Linked DNA regions of Mus musculus. The protein of the gene in region 4 purifies or fractionates together with the protein of the main gene of each other region. This does not show direct contact. Links are inferred from orthologs where the notes say so. Each region holds a gene or a part of one and is shown on either strand. Other genes may lie near its edges.

What was found.
Region 1: the proteins of Bach1 (region 4) and Mafk purify together in Homo sapiens (affinity purification with mass spectrometry; 6 studies listed by BioGRID and IntAct, counting the BioPlex papers as one, with this or other methods). This does not show direct contact. The link is inferred for Mus musculus from reciprocal best matches to the Homo sapiens genes BACH1 and MAFK.
Region 2: the proteins of Bach1 (region 4) and Fam83d purify together in Homo sapiens (co-immunoprecipitation; 3 studies listed by BioGRID and IntAct, counting the BioPlex papers as one, with this or other methods). This does not show direct contact. The link is inferred for Mus musculus from reciprocal best matches to the Homo sapiens genes BACH1 and FAM83D.
Region 3: the proteins of Bach1 (region 4) and Mafg purify together in Homo sapiens (affinity purification with mass spectrometry; 5 studies listed by BioGRID and IntAct, counting the BioPlex papers as one, with this or other methods). This does not show direct contact. The link is inferred for Mus musculus from reciprocal best matches to the Homo sapiens genes BACH1 and MAFG.
Region 5: the proteins of Bach1 (region 4) and Hmmr purify together in Homo sapiens (affinity purification with mass spectrometry; 6 studies listed by BioGRID and IntAct, counting the BioPlex papers as one, with this or other methods). This does not show direct contact. The link is inferred for Mus musculus from reciprocal best matches to the Homo sapiens genes BACH1 and HMMR.

Annotation. Positions count from the first base shown.
Region 1 is NC_000071.6:139,790,078-139,794,335, forward strand, and holds the start of Mafk (transcription factor MafK), read left to right. Parts: upstream 1-1,458; 5' UTR 1,459-1,635; intron 1,636-3,629; exon of another isoform or gene 3,630-4,258. UniProt on the Homo sapiens protein: Since they lack a putative transactivation domain, the small Mafs behave as transcriptional repressors when they dimerize among themselves.
Region 2 is NC_000068.7:158,766,801-158,770,898, forward strand, and holds the start of Fam83d (protein FAM83D), read left to right. Parts: upstream 1-1,298; 5' UTR 1,299-1,313; coding exon 1,314-1,787; intron 1,788-4,098.
Region 3 is NC_000077.6:120,630,748-120,635,042, forward strand, and holds the start of Mafg (transcription factor MafG), read right to left. Parts: upstream 2,801-4,295; 5' UTR 2,615-2,800; exon of another isoform or gene 1-2,614. UniProt on the Homo sapiens protein: Since they lack a putative transactivation domain, the small Mafs behave as transcriptional repressors when they dimerize among themselves.
Region 4 is NC_000082.6:87,726,454-87,729,953, reverse strand, and holds part of Bach1 (transcription regulator protein BACH1), read right to left. Parts: intron 518-3,500; coding exon 83-517; 3' UTR 1-82. UniProt on the Homo sapiens protein: Transcriptional regulator that acts as a repressor or activator, depending on the context. Binds to NF-E2 DNA binding sites. Plays important roles in coordinating transcription activation and repression by MAFK.
Region 5 is NC_000077.6:40,730,638-40,734,719, forward strand, and holds the start of Hmmr (hyaluronan mediated motility receptor), read right to left. Parts: upstream 2,801-4,082; 5' UTR 2,723-2,800; coding exon 2,677-2,722; intron 1-2,676. Other genes in the region: Nudcd2 (nudC domain-containing protein 2), read left to right, coding at 3,329-3,517. UniProt on the Homo sapiens protein: Receptor for hyaluronic acid (HA). Involved in cell motility. When hyaluronan binds to HMMR, the phosphorylation of a number of proteins, including PTK2/FAK1 occurs.

The sequences.
Region 1 (4,258 bases), on a different chromosome or scaffold from region 4:
GTTCTGTGTGTGCTCTTGCCCCCACCGAAGCCTATGGAAAACAGCCATATGTCCATGCATCCCCAAGTCAGAGAGATATGGCTTTCTGTCTGTTGTGGTTTGAATATGTTAGGCCCAGGAAGTGGCACTATTAGGAGGTATGGCCTTGTTGGAATAGGTGTCTCACTGTGGGTGTGGGCTTTAAGACCCTCATCCTTACTGCTTGGAAGTCAGTCTTCCTAGCAGCCTTCAGATGAAGATGTAGAACTCTCAGCTCTGCCTGCACCATGACTGCCTGGATGCTACCATGATCCTTGATGATAATGGACTAAACCTCTGAACCTATAAGGCAGCCCTAACTAAATGTTGTCCTTATAAGAGTTACCTTGGTCGTGGTGACTATTCACAGCAGTAAAAACCTAACTAAGACACTATCCATTGCTTACAGGGAGAGGGAGAGGGGGGAGGGGGAGGGGAGGGGGAGGGGGAGAGGGAGAGGGAGGGAGGAGAGGGAGGGAGGAGAGGGAGAAGGGGGGAGGGGGAGGGGGAGGGGGAGGGGCAGGCTTAGGTGAAGGCACTTAGGGTGAAGGCAGAAGGATTAAGAGCTTCAAGACAGTGCCAGTGAGGTGGCTCAGTGGGTAAAGGTACCAAGTCTGAGTTCAATTTTCGGAACCCAAAAGTGGAAAGAAAAAACAGATTCCCTAAAGTTGCCCTCTGACTTCCACACATTCGTGGTAGTGTGTGCACACCAATCCACATACATATGAACACACATATAAATAAGTAAAAAAAAAAAATAAAGTTTTATAAGTGTTCCAGGCCACTCTGAGCTGCACAGTGAGACCTTACCTCTGTCTCAGATATAAATCAAAAGGTCATGGTATGGGTCAGAAGAGGATGCTACATACATATCTCTTTCTCCTTTGTAGGGTGCATCTGCCTTGCTGATTATGTGGTGTAACTGAGCCACTTCGCCACCTTGACGTGGGCTTGGTGTTAGGTCCAGAACATGGTCACTAGCCAGTTGGCCTCTATTCTCTCTGCCAAGACCCGGGGAGGCTCCAGCAGCCTCAGGATCACAGTGAGTAGCATAGACGACAGTGGGTGACATAGAGACATAATGCCCAGGCTGAAAGTTCAAGGAAACGTGGGGTCCATACCCAGTGTGCGTCACGCTCGCCTGACACCCCCTACCTTGGGAAAGGAGCACAGACCCCGCCCCGGGTGTGTTGGGGATGGACAGGGCCAGGAGCTCAGCAATGAGACAACTGCACGTGGAAGCATGTAGGAGGACCCAGGGACTGGGGCAGCGAGGGGCGTGGCCATCAGGGGCGTGGTGCCGACGCGCGGCCAGAGAGGGCGTGGTTTTGGTGAGCGAAGAAGCGTGAGCAACAGGGGCGTGATCACTAGGGGCGTGGCCATCGCGGGGGCGGGGCGGTGACGCGCTTCGACGCGCGATCCCGGAAGCGGTGTCAGTACTGGGGAGCCGGCGGCGGGCGGCGGGTGGCAGGGACTTGTTGTTCTTCGCCGAGTCGGAACGAGAAGTCCGAAGCGCGCAGGCGGAGACGGCGACTAAGGGGAGCGCGAGAGCAGAAGCGCTTGTGAAGAGTGCGTGTCCGCAAGGAGCCGCCGCGCCCGGCCCCGCGCGCGACCCGGGTGAGTGAGGGGCTTCGGGAACTGGGTAGGGGAACCCAGAGTTCGTGCACCTGCGGGAGGAGCACCCCGAAGGCCGCGGGACCCAGCCTGGGCCTCGAGCACGTGCCACGCGGGACCTAGCTCAAGGCCCACACGGGACCCACCACGTGCGGGAGAGTGGCACCCGGGAGCCGTGCGCACCTGGCCATTTCCGTCGGCGTAGAATTCGCCCCCACCTCGCCCCCGGCCGGGACCCCGAAAGGGCCTGAGTAACTGGTGTCACTTTCTAATCAGCTGACCGGCCAGCGGTGCCGGATGTGGAAGCTGTGGGTGGGGAGCGAGGCAGGTGACCGTCTTGGCCAGCCTATCGCTTCCGTCACTTTCTTCAGGTGTGGTCTGGGGCCAAGGTCCCATCCAACTCTGAAGTGCGAGGTTCCCTAGTAGGGTGAGCGGATAGGCGTGTTAAGAGTGTGCATGTTTACGAGCGTGCGGCGAGAAATCAGAAGCAAAAACTCTAGCAAATTACAGGTGAAGAAAGCCTCGTGGGTCCTAGGTGCCTAGATTAGATCTCTTTGGGGGAGATAGACTCCTCTTCTGGTATCCTTGAGATAACAGCCACTCCAGCCTCCTAGAACTTGCCCCGTAAGAACGCAGTCGGTATTTGGGAGGTGAGGCTGCTTGGTGCTCTTGTTTCTCTAGGGAAGTTAGTCTGAGCCTCGCTTTTCACACAGCTCTCATTGCTAACACAGATGCACTTTAACAGTTCGCCTTCCAATTGATGGACAGGCACTCAGTACACTCAGTCCTCAAAAGCTAGCTTGTGTCTCAGCTGGTAGGTAGTTCACCCCTTCCACTCCTGTGGAGTCACTAAAATTAGCCCTGGGACCCCAGAGGTTGGCACTGCTGAGGTCATACTGTGGCAGCAACATTTCAGAAGGTATCTGGTGGAGTGCACGTGGGTACTTTGATGCTTTGAGCTGGTGTTTTAGGGCCAGGTAACTTCTTTCAAAGGTGTTGGTCTAAAGCCATTATGTTATGGTGGCACATGCTTGTACTCCTAGCACATGGGAGTCTGAGGCAGGAAGATCTTGAGTTTAAGGTTAGCCTGGATTGCTTAGCTAGTTCAAGACCAGCCTTAGTTACATAGCGAGACACTGTCACACAAAACCAAACTGAAACAGTAGGTGTGAATTTAAGCATGTGGATGGAGTCAAGAAAGCTGTATAGGCAGGACCTACCTGCAGCCCATGTCACTGGGGACAGCCCTCACTGATGACAAAAACCTTCCTCTCTCCTTAGATAAATCACGAGAAATGTGGTGTTTGACCTTGGTAAAGGGAATGTGTCTAATGTGATAACTTCTTGTGATTCCAAAAGAAAAGATTTACTAGACAAAACACAAAGCCAGGCTTTGCTGGAGTACATTCTCCTCTTGTTCTCCAACTGAGCTGGGCTTGCAGGGCCCTGTTCCAAGTTCAGGGCTGTGTACTTTCCAGGTAGTTGCTAAAAATGGACGTTGGATGGAGGGTCTGGGGAGGCTCTGTTTTCCCGAGAGTCTGCTGTTTCTGTGTCCCAGCCCTTTCTCTAGCACCTCAAGGCTTCTGGTGAGTCTTTTCTGGCCATTACTTCCTAAGGACCCTCAGTTTTTAGTCCCTGGCTCTACCAGCCCCAGGGCTTGTTTACAGTCTCTGCTAACTCTTTCTTGCAGTCTAGACTAAGAAGTTGTGTCTGTTTTTGCCCCGGCTGTTCTGAGTCTAAAGGTTTCTTGGGGTGGACTTTCTGGATCTCGGGTCTAGTCCACACGGGAAATGGAAATCAGGCCAGCTGGGAGAATTCTCTGTGTGGCCGATCTCTGGAGCTATAAACAGTGACTCATTCTCCCGCCCCACCCTCCCTGTCCCCTGCTCCGCTCCGGGAAGATGCCTGGTCACTCATATTTACTTTTGCTTTTTATAAGTCACACACATGCGTTCTGTTTCCTCTTTCCTGCAGTTTCAGGAAACTGAAAGTGTTATCTGAAAACCTATAGAGTTTCACAGAGGTAGACCTGAGCCCCAGTGATCAAACACCACACTGCTTGGTGTTGGGGAGGATACTACAGCCTTGCTTGCTTGATGGCCTGGCCTGAGGTCAGAGGTCAGGGTTAGAGGATAGGGGCTGTTGTGTCTGATGACACACCTGTCAGCTCTTCCTTGGGGCTGTCTGGTATGGTAGGGGGAGAGCACACACCCTCCGCTCAGCTTCCTTTTTTGTCTGAGTCCCCGCCTCTGTCTGTCTATAAAACAGACCTTGATACCCTGAAGGAGCTGGTATCAGCAACACACGCTCTCTGCTTAACAGAAGTTGATTGTGCATGGAAGCTGCTGAAAGAATGTTCTAGAACCAGGTCTAGGTCCAGGGAAAAGGCTGACTTTCCAAAGACAGCAATTAGGAGGGCTTTCAGGAAGAAGTGGAAGTTGAGGCTAGAGTGGAGACCCCATATCCATCATAGCCAGGAACACTCACCAGCCAAAGAAGGAAGCCCAGACAGGGAAGCTCAGAAGGGCACCCCAAGACCTATGTTATCTGTGGGACTAAGTCTGAGGCACCAAGATCAGAGTTGGGGATCTGTTACACCAAGGTCCAGAGAAGAACTGGACCGTGC
Region 2 (4,098 bases), on a different chromosome or scaffold from region 4:
TCCTTGCTTTTAACCCAGGAAACAGAGGCAAAGACACTGTGTGACTGTACAGCCTCAGGCCTGGCCCCTGTCCTTATTACATGCAAGAGCTGGTTCGATTTGATAGAGGAAGGTAGTCTTCTGCATCCTGGATGCCAGAGTGGGGACACAGGAAGCTCTTGCCTTTGGGCTTGAATAACTTCCCTGAGAAGGCTGGAACCAGGGAAGGATGAAGAGAGGGAGGAGATCCTCACAGCAGTACTGGTTTGTTTTAAGTTTACAGAGGTAGAGGCAGGGGGTTAGAAAGCCAAGGTCATCCTTCGCTACAAGATATGAGAAAGGGAGAGAGAGAGAGAGTGAGAGAGACCTTTAAGCGAAGAAGTAGATACCACAGTGGATTAGTATATAGATGTATATGTATGAGCATATATGTATGTGTATATGTATATAGATATATATGTGTATGTTTGCAAGGTCTTCTGTGACCTCTCTTAGGATTGACACAGAATAAGATGGCTTCGAACTCCAGATTCTCCTACCCTAACCTCCCATGTGCTGGGAGTGTGCCACCACCCCCAGCTCTGCACCACTGAGAAAAAAAGACATTTATTTATTTTTATTTAATGTGTATGTTTGTGTGCTACGTATGCATACAGTGTCCGTGGATACCAGAAAGGGCATCATCAGATTCCCTGGAAGCATTATAGGTGGTTAGAGGTTGCCAGGGGAGACAGTGCTAAACCCAGATCCTCTGGAAGTGCTCTTAACTGATGAACCACCACTCCAGGCTCTATCTCTGTCTCTTTGTCTCTCTTCCTCCCCATCTTTTCCCTTCCTTCTCCCTCCCCCTCCCTCCGTCCCTCTGTCCTTCTCTCCTTCTCACTTGCTCTCTGTATTGATAAGTTAATGATTAGATGCAGGGTGGAGTGGCAATGAGGCTGATCACACCAAAATAAGCATGTCCAGGAGCAAGTCCTACCCCTAGTCCGAGTCCTTGAAGCACCATGTTATAGGGCACTCGGCAGGGGGCGTGCTCGGACAGTGCGGGGCTATGTCCCGGGTTGGCAGGGTTCTGGAGCCGCTAGGGCGGGGTAAAGTCAGATTTAAATTCCGCTCAGCCATCAGGCAGTGAGAGCAGAGGGTGGGCGGGTTCTGTCTCAGGAGCAACCAATAGCAATGAGGGGGCAGAGCCTTTGGTACGCATGGGAGACATCCAGCCAATGGGATTGCTGGGGCGGGGCGGCGAGCCAATAGAGCGGGCTGGTTTGATTCAAAGATGCCTATAAAAACTCAGACTACCACCGTAGACAAGTGGATCGGTTCTGGGCACTGCCATGGCTGCTCGCTTCGAGCTGTTGGACGACCTTCCCGCGGCCTGCCTGTCTCCGTGCGGACCGCCCAACCCCACGGAGCTGTTCAGCGAGGCGCGGCGTCTGGCTCTCGAGCAGCTGCTGGCCGGTGGTCCCGACGCCTGGGCCGCCTTCTTACGGCGTGAGCGGCTGGGCCGCTTCCTCAACGCCGACGAGGTGCGCGAGGTTCTGGGCGCTGCCGAGCGGCCGGGCGAGGATGGGGCGGCGGTAGCGGAGGACTCGTTCGGCTCCTCTCACGAATGCTCGTCGGGCACCTACTTTCCGGAGCAGTCGGACCTGGAACCGCCGGCGTTGGAGCTCGGCTGGCCTTCCTTCTACCAGGGTGCCTACCGCGGTGCCACGCGTGTCGAGGCTCATTTCCAGCCCCGCGGCGCGGGCGCCGGAGGCCCGTATGGCTGCAAGGATGCGCTGCGCCAGCAGTTGCGCTCCGCCCGAGAGGTGAGCGGCCCCCTGGCAGCGGGTAGGGGAGGAGCATCGGCCTTCTGAAAATTGAGTCATGTCGTAGTTCCAACTTCTGTTATTGGTACCCCTGGAACAGAGCGACTGTTAGTTCAAACCAAAGTGGATTGCAGAATTCCAGGGACGTCAGCTGACATTAGGTCTCACTTTCAGGAGCTAAGTAAAAGCTTAGTTTTACCCAAAAGATGATACCCGGAGACCATGGGGAGATCTGTAATTACCACTTTTCCACGCTTCTTAATGTTGTAGACAGATAAATTCGAGCAGTCGGTTTATCTCTTTCACTTCTGTGAGTGAGTCTGGTGGGAGATATTTTTAACCCACAGTGCCTGGGACTGTTCCAAGTAGCATTGATCCAAAATGCAAATATTTGTGCTTTAGATAAGCCACTGGTTACAATGGGTTTTTATCTTAGCTAGTGTCAGACTGCCCGATTGGCCTGGGGTGGAGTATAGAGTCTGGCCTGCCATAGATCAGGGAGAAAGGGCTCCACTTGGGAGGGTGTGGCTACAAGTTTGCATGCTGGTGAACACTGCTCCATTCCCAGACCTTTTGACTGCCTGGAACATGACGGGCAAAGCCTCAGACCATGTCAAGACTTAGTAGGCCTGGCACCGCTATATGTTAGGGTGCGGATCAGGTTGACATCACCAAGTCTAGGAGCAAGTTTGCGTTCTGTTTTTGTCTTTTGTTTTTTGTTTTCCTCTCTGCAAGACAAGGTCACTGTAACCCAGGCTTACCTGGAACTTACAGGCTTCAATTTCAGGCAATCCTCCTGCCTCTGCCTTCCTAGTGCCAAAGCCAAAGTTCTGATGCTGGTTCTGTACCTGACAGGCAGGACTTTGAGGATAAGAGTGTAGGTGACCAAGCTGTTCAGGGAATAGTATGGCTATGGCTGGATTCATGTTAATCCTGTGAGCTTTGGGTGGGCTGAGGGTCCGTTTGATGCTGGAAATGTTTCACTTGTGAGTTCAGTACAAAATTATAAAGCGTTTGGAAGAGGCAAAATTGTGGGCTAAGGGTGCATGCCCAAAGCTTCCCTCTGGGAGGAGAATTTGAGCACTCCTTGGGGACACCTTGAGAAGGAAAGACCTGGTCTCCAGGAAAGGCAGAGGTGTGGGCTGCTCTAACCTTTTGCTCAGTTGGGTGAAGGCACTAGAGCTAGAGGTCAGAAGGAAAACTTGCCTTAAAAGGGATCACAGCTACAGCAGACTTCCCTATCTTTCTTGCAATCTGAAAAACATCAGTGGATGGGGCCTCCTGCTTCCCTCTGTACCTACTTCCTTTACACCTCCCCTACATCCCTGTCTCTGGAAGCTGGGCGTTCCCACGGAGAAAGGTGGGAAACCCAATGAGCATTTTTTTGTATATATGCCCAAGTGCATACTTACCCAGAGTCTCCCAGCTGTCACACTGCCAGGGCTGGGGTCACAGAGGAGGGGGTGTGGTTCTCGTCCTTAGTTCATGGAGGACTGGGGATGAGGAAGGGGCTAGAAGAAAATCTGGAGTGGCGATGTCTGAGTTGGACTGAGAAGGAAGGATGGAACTAGCCTGTCTATGGAGAAGATAGGGACCAAAAGTCGAAAAGATGATGGGGGTGGTGTTCCTAGCAGTAAGCCTGGCGTGAAGGAGTTTAGATTTAGGAGGGCTGAGGTGGCAAGGAGGCCAGAGACATCCTTGTAAGAGGAAAGAGTCTGGATTAAGGCAGGGTGGGCAGGAAGCCAGTTTTAGGCAGAGTTCCCTGAATTTGAGACATGACGAACTGGAGTGGAAAGGCAGGGGAGGAAAGTATGTAGACAGCGAGGAAGCTTGAAGGCTGGGGGGGCGGGGTAGCTCTGTGGCAGGACGGACCTTAACATGCTGGAGGTCTTGGGTTTGAGCACACACTAAGGGGACAAGGGGGAGAAGGAAACACGTGGAAGGTTGATGGCTCTGCCGCCTCAGTTCCCGTAGAGAACAGCCGGGCTCTGCCTTCGAATGCTGGGCTTCCAGGCGTGTGCCGCCAAGCTGGCTGAGGCTGAGACTTGCTGGCCCTAGTTGGCAGTGACAGGACTACACTGGAATACATTAAGGAAAACAAGGACTGAGCTGGCCAAGGAGTGGGGTGTATAGGAATTAGGTTAATTTGAGGCATGAGGCTTTAAGAGGAAAAAAAAATGAGTCAATAAAAATTGTTTTCTCACCGCCTTTAATCCCAGCAGGCAGACACAGGCACATCTCTATGAGTTTGAGGCTAGCTTGGTCTAAATTGCAAGTTCCAGGCCTACAAAAGCTATATGGGGTGTGGGGT
Region 3 (4,295 bases), on a different chromosome or scaffold from region 4:
CAGGGCCAGGGAACAAAAGCAAAACAGGTCCCTCCTACAGTCAGCCGCCCCTCCGGGCTCAACCTCATTTTCAGCTTTCTAAAGCCTTGCCAAGGACATTCTTGTGTACCTAGGCTGGGAATCCCCACTTAGCCCAACACCCACCAGTCCCACAGGCACATCCTCTCCTTTCCAGGTTAGGTGCAGGGAAATGAGGGAAGTGAGGTTGCTGCAGGTCTGTGAGCACTTCAGGCAAAAATGTGCTGGATGGGGAGTTGGTTCATCTTATCAAAGGAACTAACACATTCTCATTAGCTTTACCCTACTGCTTTTAGCTTTGAACAGGAGGTGTGGCTACATGCAAACACTGAGCAAGCAAACCAGGACTAAATCTACAGGACTAGATTAGGAGCATTTTCAGAGGCAACAGTACTGCTAGATCAAAGAGAAAGGCAGAACTCAGATCTAGAGGTCTGAAGGGCATCTGTCTTTCTTACAAGTTGGCCCTATACTCACACTAGGAGCATAAGTCGAGGTGAGGGGACAGTCCTGGCAGGAGCTTCCCTTATACAGACTGCTGAGCTCAAAACGGTGACTTCCTGAGATCGCACAGGAAAGTGCAGAGTGTGGCGGCTGGGAGCTGAAAAGTGCCTTCTCAACAGATTTTACCTCCACCAAAGGCCTGAACTCAGCACAAGTGCAGCCAACTGCCTCCTGATCAAAGGTGCACGAGAGAGAGAGAGAGAGAGAGAGAGAGAGAGAGAGAGAGAGAGAGAGAGAGAGAGAGAGAGAGAGAGAGAGAGAGAATGTGTGTGTGTTAGAGCGAGTGTGTGTACATGTTTATACGCATGTGTGCTTAAGGGGGAAGGGCAGGTCTCAGGAAAGCCAATTCTTCCAGCTACCTGCCTGGCTTCTGCAAACCTAGGGACACAGTGACTAGGCAGACAGTTCTGGGGGGGACAGCTGTGCTGAGGGATACAGTTTAGAGAGCTTTCCAGAGCCTGAGGAAGAAGCTCAGAGAAGCTGATCTGGACCTGCTGCCTCCAACTCAGCCCTCCAAGTACTCACAGTTATGGACAGACTCAAGACACCAAGGGGCTCTGGACCACTCATTCAGGCTGACCCTTAAAGAAGGGGTTTGGGCACCTCTGTCCTCTCACACTAGACAATCTGGACATTAGTCTCAAGCAAGATAGTGACCCTTCCTTGCTAAACCTTGCCTGTAAACCTCAATGCAGGAGACCCCCTACGTAGGTCTTCTCTCCTTCAGGTACTGACATTGTTTGAAGAGAACGGAAAACATTAAGTTCACTGAAGCACAGTGCCTCCGGAGTTTAACAATTTTCTGGAACCTTGAAGTTTCATAGGGCAAGTTCCACACCAAATGAAAAAAACACTGCACCTATGAGCAGCCTCAGGGCTCAGGGTTAAGGGGACATCCCTTAGCACAAACCACAAGGTAAGCACAGTCTAGACATGAATCCCTGGGCAAGGAAAGCAGTAGGATGGAGTTCAAGAACCTTCACGACAGATAAGTCAGTAAACAGCCATTCAGCCACACCCCACAAAACTGTCACCTCCCAAGAGTCTCCAGACACCCAACAGGGCACACACACTTTTTGGTAACTCCAGGCAACAGTGGGACCCCAAACTCTTCTGAAAGGAATAACATTGGGATAAATAAAACTACATCTTCTACTCCATGGTTGCACCTCAAAAACTCTCACCAGCTGCCTAGATCCACACTCTGCTCTCCTTAGCTGGTTAGAGCTGCCCCAGCTTCTTTCAAGCCACAGACCCTTCTCCCCCTGCCTCCCGGTCTTCCCCATCTAGGACCGACGAAGCCTGGCCATTCAGGGTCACAGAGAAGGAAAGCTTGCTTCCCAGACGAGCTGGCTCGGCCCACCTAAGCTCCTCCCCTCAGCGTACACCGATCGGTCTCCGGGTTTGGGGAACTGCCCCAGTTGTGGGACCCGGGCCAGGAGCCCAAGAACCAGGCAAGGATGCGCACGCCCGGGGCTTTACCTTCCACCCCGGGAGAAACCTGCGGCGCGCCCCTGCAATGCCTCCTTCGGAGCCTTTGCCTCCAACTCACAGGTCTGTCAAACTTAAACACGACCCCGGATCCCGGCCCGACCTTCACCACCCGGATCGAGCCCTGTCTCCCGACTAGACCGGCCGATAGCGGGCCCCGGCCCCCCGCCCTGGCCCAGCGTCAGCAGGAGCACCGAGTGACCTCATGCTGATGACTCAGCACGTCTCCGCTGGGCTCGCACCCGCGTGGCGAGCCCAAGCCGCGCAGCAGGGTCTCCCCGCCGCCTCCCCTGTGGGCCCGCGCGCGACCCCGCCCGCGCGGAAGCCGACGGACACCTGATGAGTCAGCAGCTCGGTGCGGCCACCCCGCTGACCCGGGCAGACGCGCGCAGCTCGCCCTTAAATCGCGCCCCCCGCAGGGCACCCGGGGTCCGCCGCCGCGCGCACGCCCGTCCCCAGCCTCGCGGTCGCCCGGTCCGCCGGCTCTAGGGGGACACAGGCGAACAGCCGGCTGGCGGGGAAACCAAGGCACGCGCTGCCGTCGGGTGCGCCGCAACCCCGAGGCCAGGCCCCGCCGCCCGCCCCAGCCCCGCGCACTCACCACACTGCGGGCCCGGGCGGGCCAAGGCGGGGCTGGGGCGGGGCCGCGCGCGCGCGCTCCGGGGCTGCGCGGGGCTGGGGCGGGCGCGAAGGGTCCGGGCCGGGGGCTTAGGAGGACTGGCCGCCTGCGCGGGCCGGGCCAAGCGCGCTGGGAAGGCCGGGCCGGACCGGGCTCAGAATCCGCCGCCGCCGCCGCTCCTCAGACGTCACATGATGTTTGGTCACGTGGGTTCCATTCATGAAGCGGCGACGCGGCTGGCCTAAGCTTAAAGGGAAAGGCGAGGCGGCAGCAAGGCGAGCGCGCCCCCATCACGCCTGCGCAGCCCCGCGCCGTTGCCCTTGGCAACGCCCGCCGCGCCCTGGCAATGTCTCGCGGGAGTCGTCCCGGCGCTCGCCGGGTTGACCGTGCTCCTGCAGAGACAGGTTCTACGGAGTGGCCCCAACTCGGATGCCTCTAGCTCCCTCCCGATCTCCACACCAACTCAGACCGAGGTCTATGGGAGGTTTGTTTGATTTTCTTCACTTGGATGCATAGTTTCACTGTACAGCGAGCAGACTGGATTTCAATTCCCTGAGATGCTCCTGCCTCGGCCCCCTGAAAGCGGAACTCACAGATGAGCGTCACCACGCGGGAACCTATTTGCTGTTTTGAAGGTGTGACACAGTGATTTAGTTCCTTACCCCGTTCTGCTGCGACGTCCTCATTCTAAATGGGTCAGCAGTCTGAAAAGGACACGGCTGTTGAGGGGCACAGCCCCAACCCCAGCTCAGATCCCCAAACTATCCACGATGACACGAAGGCTTGGAGGACGCTCACTAATGATTCTAATCTCCGGAGGGTGCTAGGGGCTTCACCTGCGGCCGTGGACCATCTCTTCGGGTAGTGTGCGTGCACTGTAGGAGTTGTGCACTTTGCCCAACCCTTCTCTGCCGCATTTGAAACTACTTTGGGTGCATTCTGCTGCTACTTTTTCTGTGAGACTTCTCGCTGCTGTTGAAAAAGTAAAAAAGAAGGAAAGTAGGAGGGATCAAGTTTTCATTTCGAGGTTCTGAACGTTCTATTTGACCCTGTCTTCTCTGGGAATCGTGAAAAGGTGACTCGTTCTGTAACATAGGTGACAAGGAAAAGGGGGTAAGCAGGCTGGAGGGGGCCTGTGTGTGTCCTTTGTGTCAAATTTGGTTTCTTGAGACAAGGTTTAGACCAGGCTGGCCCCAAACTCTCAGAGATCCGACTGCCTCTGCCTCTCTAGTGCTGGGATTAAAAACATGTGCCACCACACCCAGCCTCAAAAAGTAATTCTTTACATTGTATTTCTTTGGGGAGTGGGGGGGGGGGAGCTTTTATCTTTCACTGGCTGTAGCCAGAGTCTCAGAATACAGAGAATTACTCCTTATGCCTTGTGGTGGTTTGAATAGAAATGGCCTGCATGAATTCTAAATGCCGTGTCTAAATGCTTGGCCCATAGGGAATGGCACTATTAGGAGGTGTGGTCTTGTTGGAAGACGATTGTCTCTGTGGGGACAGGCTTTGAGGTCTTATATACTCAAGCTATGCCCGTGTGTGACTTACAGTTTCTTGCAGCCTTCAGAATGCAGAACTCTAACTAAGCCCATCCTCCAGCAGCAAGTCGGCCCTGATTCAGTCTTGCTACTCTCCATGACAATAATGGATTAAACCTCTG
Region 4 (3,500 bases):
GCAAGAAGACACGGCCACGCTAGGCTTCGAGACAATGCCGAAGGTCAGAGGGAGGCCATGGGCTGAAGGCTGCCCGTGGGGTTTACTCGTCAGTAGTGCACTTGTCAGACATCTGCTGACAGAAGTCTGAGATCCCAGCACTCTGCCGACAGGGTTCCAACAGCGTGGCCTGCTCTGGGGCAGCTGCGGTGGTTGGCGGGGACTCCTGCACCAGCTCCTGGCTGGCCGCGCTGCTCCCTCGCCCACAGGGAGGTGGTGCAGTTGGAGGCACGTCAGACACACTGAAAACCGATGTAAAAGCAAGCTCGCCGTCGGGAGTACTTTTTCCTTTCTCAGAAATTAAAAAGGAAAGCGGGCAGTCGGAGGCCGAGTACTTGGCAAGGATCTGGATCTGCTCGGGGCTCAGGGCGGCTTCCTTGCACACCTGCTGACAAAGTCCGGTCAGGTTCTGCTTTGTCTCCCCCAGCGTTGACAGAATGTGGTCTCGCTCCTTCAGCAAGCTCTCCTTTTCACTTTGCTGTGCAGAGGAGAGAGAGAACACAACGGTGTTTACTGTGTCCCCCGACAGCTCTAAGGCAATCAGACACTCAGTGCCTACAATGTCGTCTTCAGTAAGACCCTGCTGAATGCTGCCTTTCAACCCCTCACACACCCATGTCAACTCACCACAGACACACTTGCAGTGTTTGCTGCTGCGCTACTCACGGTACCTAAGTGACGGGACCGACTGAGGTGCCCAGACACCGAGGAAGGGCTCACGTGCATCAGTATACAGTGGAATCTTTTCCACCATAAAGAAAAATGAGGTTATGCTGTTTGGAAGAAAACTGAAGTTTACAATAGGTGAATTGAGTCAGTGTTCCAAACACAGATGTTCTCTCTCGTATGTAGGTCCTAGATTTTTATGTAGACACAAAAACCACATATGATATGAAAGCAGGAAGAAGTCTAGAGAAGCAAAGACGACTAAAGGGGGTGGGAGGTAGGAAGGGAATGAGGCTGCTCTCAGTGAACAGCTTGCCAAGCTTGTAGGACAGGGGCCTCAGGTAATGTACTATATACACTACTCTACGTGCAGAGTAGTCCACGTACGGGCATGCGGAAACTCAGAGCTGAACACAGAGACAGACAGACACAGACACACACACACACACGCAAAATACCAAAGAAAGGCTCATCCAAAACTCCTAGAGTCAGTCCTTATACTGTGCACACCAGTACTCGTGTGTGTGTGTGTGTGTGTGTGTGTGTGTGTGTGTGTGTGTGTGTGTGTGTAGTTAAAACGCACCACCAAACATCCTTATACTCTTAAATGAAACACTGAAAGATCAAGTAAGGCGGAAAGTAGGGGAAAGAACTTGTAGCTGGCTATCAAAAGGGGCTGGGTTCTGGCCATGGTTCTAAGGCAAACTCATTATCCTGAGTGCTTGGGTTTGAACTGTGGATAACTACGGGCTTGACCCTGTGCGGAAGGAAACCAACACAGTTCCTCGGTTAGCCCCTGAAACTTACCTCACTGTAAGACTCAGCTAATGCTGCCTTCCTGAGATCTGACTGTGAGCCCAGGATTATGTCAATGTCTTAGCTATAGAATCCACGGAGTGACTCAGTAAACAGAAGTAAGACTTCAGCGTACCCGTATGAGAAGTGAGTTCCTACAGGGTAAGGAGTGAGGAGGCTAACCCTGTGTGTACTGTTTACAGTGCGGTATTTTCAAATCCCTACAAGAAAGTGTACCACTAAGTACGTTTTCCTGGTCCGTCCCTTCTGCCCACATCAGGCATCACCGCCAATAGTGTTTTCCTTTCCCCTCATCCCGCCGCCTCCTTCACCTCCTACCACTCACTTCTAATGTCTTATGTGCTAGGCAACCTAATCACCGAGCTGCTTGTGAACTGAGAGTTAATAAGCGCTAACCGCAGGACAAAGGTTTCCCCCGTGGAAACAGCACGACTAGTGTCTAAGGGAACCAGAGGCCACCACCGCCTGCTCTCTGCTCGCTGACAGCTCTGAAGAGCCAGGGCTCCTAGAGACCACCCGATGCTGTATTTCACAGCGGTAATTTCTAACTGTCAAACTTTTGGTCCTTCTAGCATAAAAATAGTTTAAAGGTAGCAAGAGCTCTGCTAGATACAGATGTGCTCTTACACGTGTGTACCTAGCAGAGCTCACAAAAATATTTCTACGGTGTTATGTGAAAATTTAATTATTAGTGGTGTTTGTAAAATATTAAGATTATATGATATTTTTAAATATGCAATGAATAGGAATTCTTTTATTATAAGCACAATATAAATTTTTATAATCCAAAGCAATTCCCCAATTTGTTCAGAATTTTAGTTTTCTTTTAAAATAAAAACAAGAGCAGGTCAAGAATGTGCATGTGCGTGCTCGTGTGTAAGTCGGGTCTTCATTCAGCCATTTCCTCTTACACAGACTCTGTCAGTTACTACAGATGAAATCAGTCTGCAGGTGCCAAGACGGGAACAGCACTGGCTTCTATCCCCGAGAAGAAACACATTAAAGCCATCTGTGCCCTCTTTTCTTTGCACCTCTCTGCAGCTAGTGGGAATAGAAACAAGACCCTGGGAGAAACTAACAACCCTCTTTACTCAGTGATAGTTATACTAACGTCTGGCTTCCTCTGTCACCGCCGAAAGGAAGCCATTCTCAACGGCAGGAGATTTAATGTCAAGTGCTGCTGGCCTTTCAAATTAGGAAAGGTTAACTGTAACAGTGACCGTTTGGGCTTCCTTTTACAAATCAAAACCACCATTCAGAGATGCTCTAGAGATCACAAATATTATGTAATTTCTGTATCTTCATGTAACTATCTATCTATGTATGTGGTCTCTCCACATTCACATGCACACTGCGACACTAAATAAAAATGTCCAAGAAGAGTCAGGGGAAGGCTCAGAGGGTCAGGAGTGATTGTTGCACAAACATAAGGATCTGAGTTCGAATCCCCAGAACCCAAGTAAAAAGTTAAATATGGCCATACACTGGGGCTACACTGCTGTAGCGGAGTAGAAGGTCTTAGAGTGACTGCTGTGGCTTGCTGGCTGGCCAGCCTAGCCAAAAAAAGTCAGCAAGCTGCAGGTGTGCTCAAAGGGCAGAGGAGACCGAAGAAAGGATCCGGACAGCCTCTGGCCCCTCCTGAACACACGGGAGCCGGACTCGAGTGCCCCCTTCCCACAGACACACAGGCACATATATAGACACACACACGGGCAATTTTAAAAACAAGAATGTCCCACAGAAGCTGACTTGTGCCCAGGTACAGCACGAGCTCTCTAATCTTCCCTCTGTTCCTCACACGCCCAGCAACCCCTCACAGCCACCTCTGAGGCAGCTAACTGCTATCTCCACTTATGCTATTTTGAAAACCTCAATTTACCAGGGCAAGTCAGAATAGTTGCTAAGGAGTGAATCAAACCAACCCAACCAGAGAGCTTCACAGCACGGCCCAGACACAGGAGGAGCAGGAGCTCAAAGCG
Region 5 (4,082 bases), on a different chromosome or scaffold from region 4:
GTATCTTGTTAATCACAGCTGATTCTTCAGCCCCAGCTAACCAAAACCACAGAACCTTCACAATCAATACAGCAACAGCCCTGATAAGAGTCTTCCCTCTGAAATTTCACAAGCCAGGCCTCCATCTTCTGTGCTGTTCTCAACATTATCTTCCAAGCTCCTACACAACATCCCACAGAGCTCTTAACATCCCAATGGTTCTTCTAGCCCAAAGTTCCAAATTCCTTCCATAGTCCTCCAGAAAACATGGTCAGGCTGTCACAGGAATTCCTCACTATGTTGGTACCAATTTGGTTTAGTCAGGGTTTCTATTCCTGCATAAACATCATGACCAAGGAACAAGTTGGAGAGGAAAGGGTTTATTCATCTTACTCTTCCACATTGCTGTTCATCACCAAAGGAAATCAGGACTGGAACTCAAGCAGGTCAGGAAGCAGGAGCTGATGCAGAGGCCATGGAAGGATAGTCTTCACTGGCTTGCTTTCCCTGGCTTGCTCAGCCTGGTCTTTATTATTATTATTATTAATTAATTAATTTATTTATTGGTTTTTTTGAAACAGGGTTTCTCTGTGTAGCCCTGGCTGTCCTTGAACTCAGAAATCCGCCTGCCTCTGCCTCCCTAGTGCTGGGATTAAAGGCGTGCACCACCATGCCCGGCTTCAGCCTGCTCTCTTATAGAATTTAAAATCTACTTTCAATTTTGTTCAGCCCATTCTCATTCACCTTCCAGATCTCCATGTGGCCATCTAGCTTTTGCAGAATCCCCCCCCCCCCCTCAAAAAAAATCAGGCTAGAAAATTCTCATAGCACTGTCTATAATTCCTAACAGCTTATTATGCTTTCATAAGGACTTATTTACTTTATCTCTACATTAGACTTAAGTGCTTGCAATTTGGGAGTAGCTTCTATTCTTCTAGTATTTAGCTCATAGTTATGTTGAGCAGTATAGAAAAAAAATATCTTGTTTGGGATGTGAGAATGGACTAGGCTTTTGTAATTAGCCACAGGAGTACTCAAAATCACCTGTGTCTGACAAGCTACAGAAAATACCATGCCAGACACTTTGTAGACATAGGGAGAACACACCAAATTTTAAAAAAAAAAAAAGTTAGATTCCCTCCTTTATCCCAGGATGCTTTAAGTTTCCTTGAGGTAGAAAAAGCTGCCATGGACTTACAAATATTAAATATCTGACATATTATCTTTGACACTGTAAGCCTTAACTACTGCTCCTTAAAACCAAACAGCAGCTGAGCCATGTGTGTTGTGCAGGTCTCTTAAGTTTCAGTACTTGGGAGGTGGCAGCAGGAGTACAAGGCTAGCCTGTGCTACAAGAGACCTTGTCTCAAAACAAAAACATCTACCCTGTTCTGTAGAACCTAAGTTGTCTGAGTTCCCTGGAAATGGTGTGGCCATGGAGATGGCTGTGTCTGATCACTCACTTGACCTTGTGAATGGAGGAACGTTGATAGAAACCAGATAGAGACTACTAACCAGTACATGCTACAGAGGATATAAACCGGCCTTTCATCTTCCGCTCCATCACTTACTTGCTGGCTGCATAATATAGTCAGAAACTCTCTCAATGTTCTCATTTGTAAAGAGTACAACTTTGGTACTTTTCTCGTCTAGCTGTTCAAAGGAATAACATATAGACCTTACGACAGTACAGCTGCACAGTTAGCATCTATCACCTCACACCCAAGGCTCTAGTTACTTGTGCATAAACCACAGCCCTTAAGAGCATAGCATATATCCTTGGAAGTCTGGGTTCCCACTCCATTTCTGCCAATTTAGTTTCATAAAATTGAGTGGATTTCAGTCTCATTTTTCATTTACTTCCAACATGCTATTAATTTGTTGTAGGTGTGAGTTACTGACAGTCTATGTAGCTCAGGCCACTAGGTCTGGAAGTGTCTATTTCTTACAGGTGAAAACATTAAAAATTACTTTATTCTAACTGTTTAAATGCTATCACCATCTACACTCAATTTACTCTGTCATCTACACACCAAGTTCCACTATTCTATTGTTAAAATGCTGAACATTACTTAAGAATTGTTTCATGAGATGGCTCAGTGGGTAAGAGCACTGACTGCTCTTTCAAAGGTCATGAGTTCAAATCCCAGCAACCACATGGTGGCTCACAACCATCTGTTATGGGATCTGAGGCCCTCTTCTGGTGTGTGAGGACAGCTACAGTATACTCATGTTAATAAATCAACCTTAAAAAAATAAAATATTAAAAAAGAAATTCCAAAGAACTGTTTCACGAGTGGAAAAGAATCCGTGGGCAGCTGTCTTTACTGAACAGATTTCTCAGTCTTTATGCTTTTATATCTGAATGCAATGTCAATGCAGAAAATTCTAAAGAGAGTAACTTCTTTTTAAAAAGAAAAGTAGCGCCTGCCAACTCCTAATCCCCTTCAACCAGCTGTGGTTTCTCCATGGTGTTGATGGCATATTTTGGAATCTCACGCTTGAAGACTCGCTGTGTGCAGGGATGACCTCATTTCACGTAGGGCCGCGTCTCTACCATCCCACACTGCGCTAACCAGGTGTTTACTGCGTGAATTTGGAGAAAAACAAACACCGCCCCAGCCCTAACCTGGCTTTCGAATGACTGGGAAACGAGGGCACATCCCCTTCCCACCCTGTTCCCCCACCCGTACGTACCCGAAGGGTCATTGAATCTCTTCAGGGGCGCCTTAGGAAAGGACATTCTGACGCCTGGGTCCAGATGAGACAGCAATCAAACGCCCCAGCAAACTGTCAGCTCGCCTGAATTCAAATTTACCTCAACTTTCCCCCTCAGCCAATCAGAAAACCTAAACCTATCTGGCCAATCCTGCATGGTCCAAAGAGCATGCGCACTAGATTCCTACCGCCGCCCAATCGGAAGGTTTGTAAGTTTAAGCTAGTAGCCAATAAGAGGCTGCTCCTGATCGTCGCCGCAAACAGCTCTATCCAATCACTTCTGGTTTTACTCAGTTTTACTGGGTAGCCCAGTTCGCGCAAGCGCACTTCACAGGCCGGTGGACGCGTCGGAATTTTGGCGTCACACAGGTTTAAAGATCGCAGGCACTTTTCTCCTTTGTTCCGGCGTCAGTGTTCTTTGGATGTCAACATCTCTAGGCTTCGGTCGATTTCACCAGGGCTCACGAGTGTCTTAAATGGGCTCTGAAAGGGAGAATTTTGCACACTCGGACACGCCAGTTTGGACTCTTGCGCATGTGCAGTGACCCCAAGGCGCCGAGGGCAAGCCCAGAGCCTAGTCCCGCCGGTGTAGTGCTCTCCCGGAGCCGTGTGCCTGCGTGGCGTCTTCAGAATGTCCGCCCCGTTTGAGGAGCGCAGCGGGGTGGTTCCTTGCGGGACTCCGTGGGGACAGTGGTACCAGACCCTGGAGGAGGTGTTCATTGAAGTCCAGGTGCCCCCCGGCACTCGCGCGCAGGACATCCAGTGCGGCCTGCAGAGTCGGCACGTGGCTCTGGCCGTGGGTGGCCGCGAGATCCTCAAGGTAGCAAGCCAGGGCTTGTCCCGAGTTCCTTCTTCTGGCTTTCCCGCACCCCGAGCCCTAAAATTCACGGTGTCAGAGGGATGACTGCTGGGTGTGGCAAGGTTAGTTCCTGGCTGGTAGAAAGAAGTGGTAAATTGTTCTGGCGAGGGGTCTCCACGGAGCACTGCACCCACAGAGCAGATTTTGCGCGGGTAGAACTCAAAGATTTTGTTCTCCACTTTATTTCTAAAATAGGTTTGGGGTGCTTTTATTTCCTCCGGAGTTCCTGCTGACAGAAGGCTAAGTAGGTCAAAAGAACGAATATGCGTCTTCTGGGCACCGATGGGAGTCCCAGAGACTAGACAAAAGGATTCTGAACTCTGTTCATGACGTGTAGGCTAATACAGGCACTTACAAGCAAGGCTAGGGTAATGGGATGAGGATTCCAAGATGTCAGATTGGTTTTCTAAATAACAAGTTTCTTGCATGTTGATCTTCATCGTAGTGAAAAGGTGTGTGAAGTTACCTAATTTCACCAAATTTTTAATCTGGTCACATTTCCCCGTTTTTGGTTAAGAATTTATTA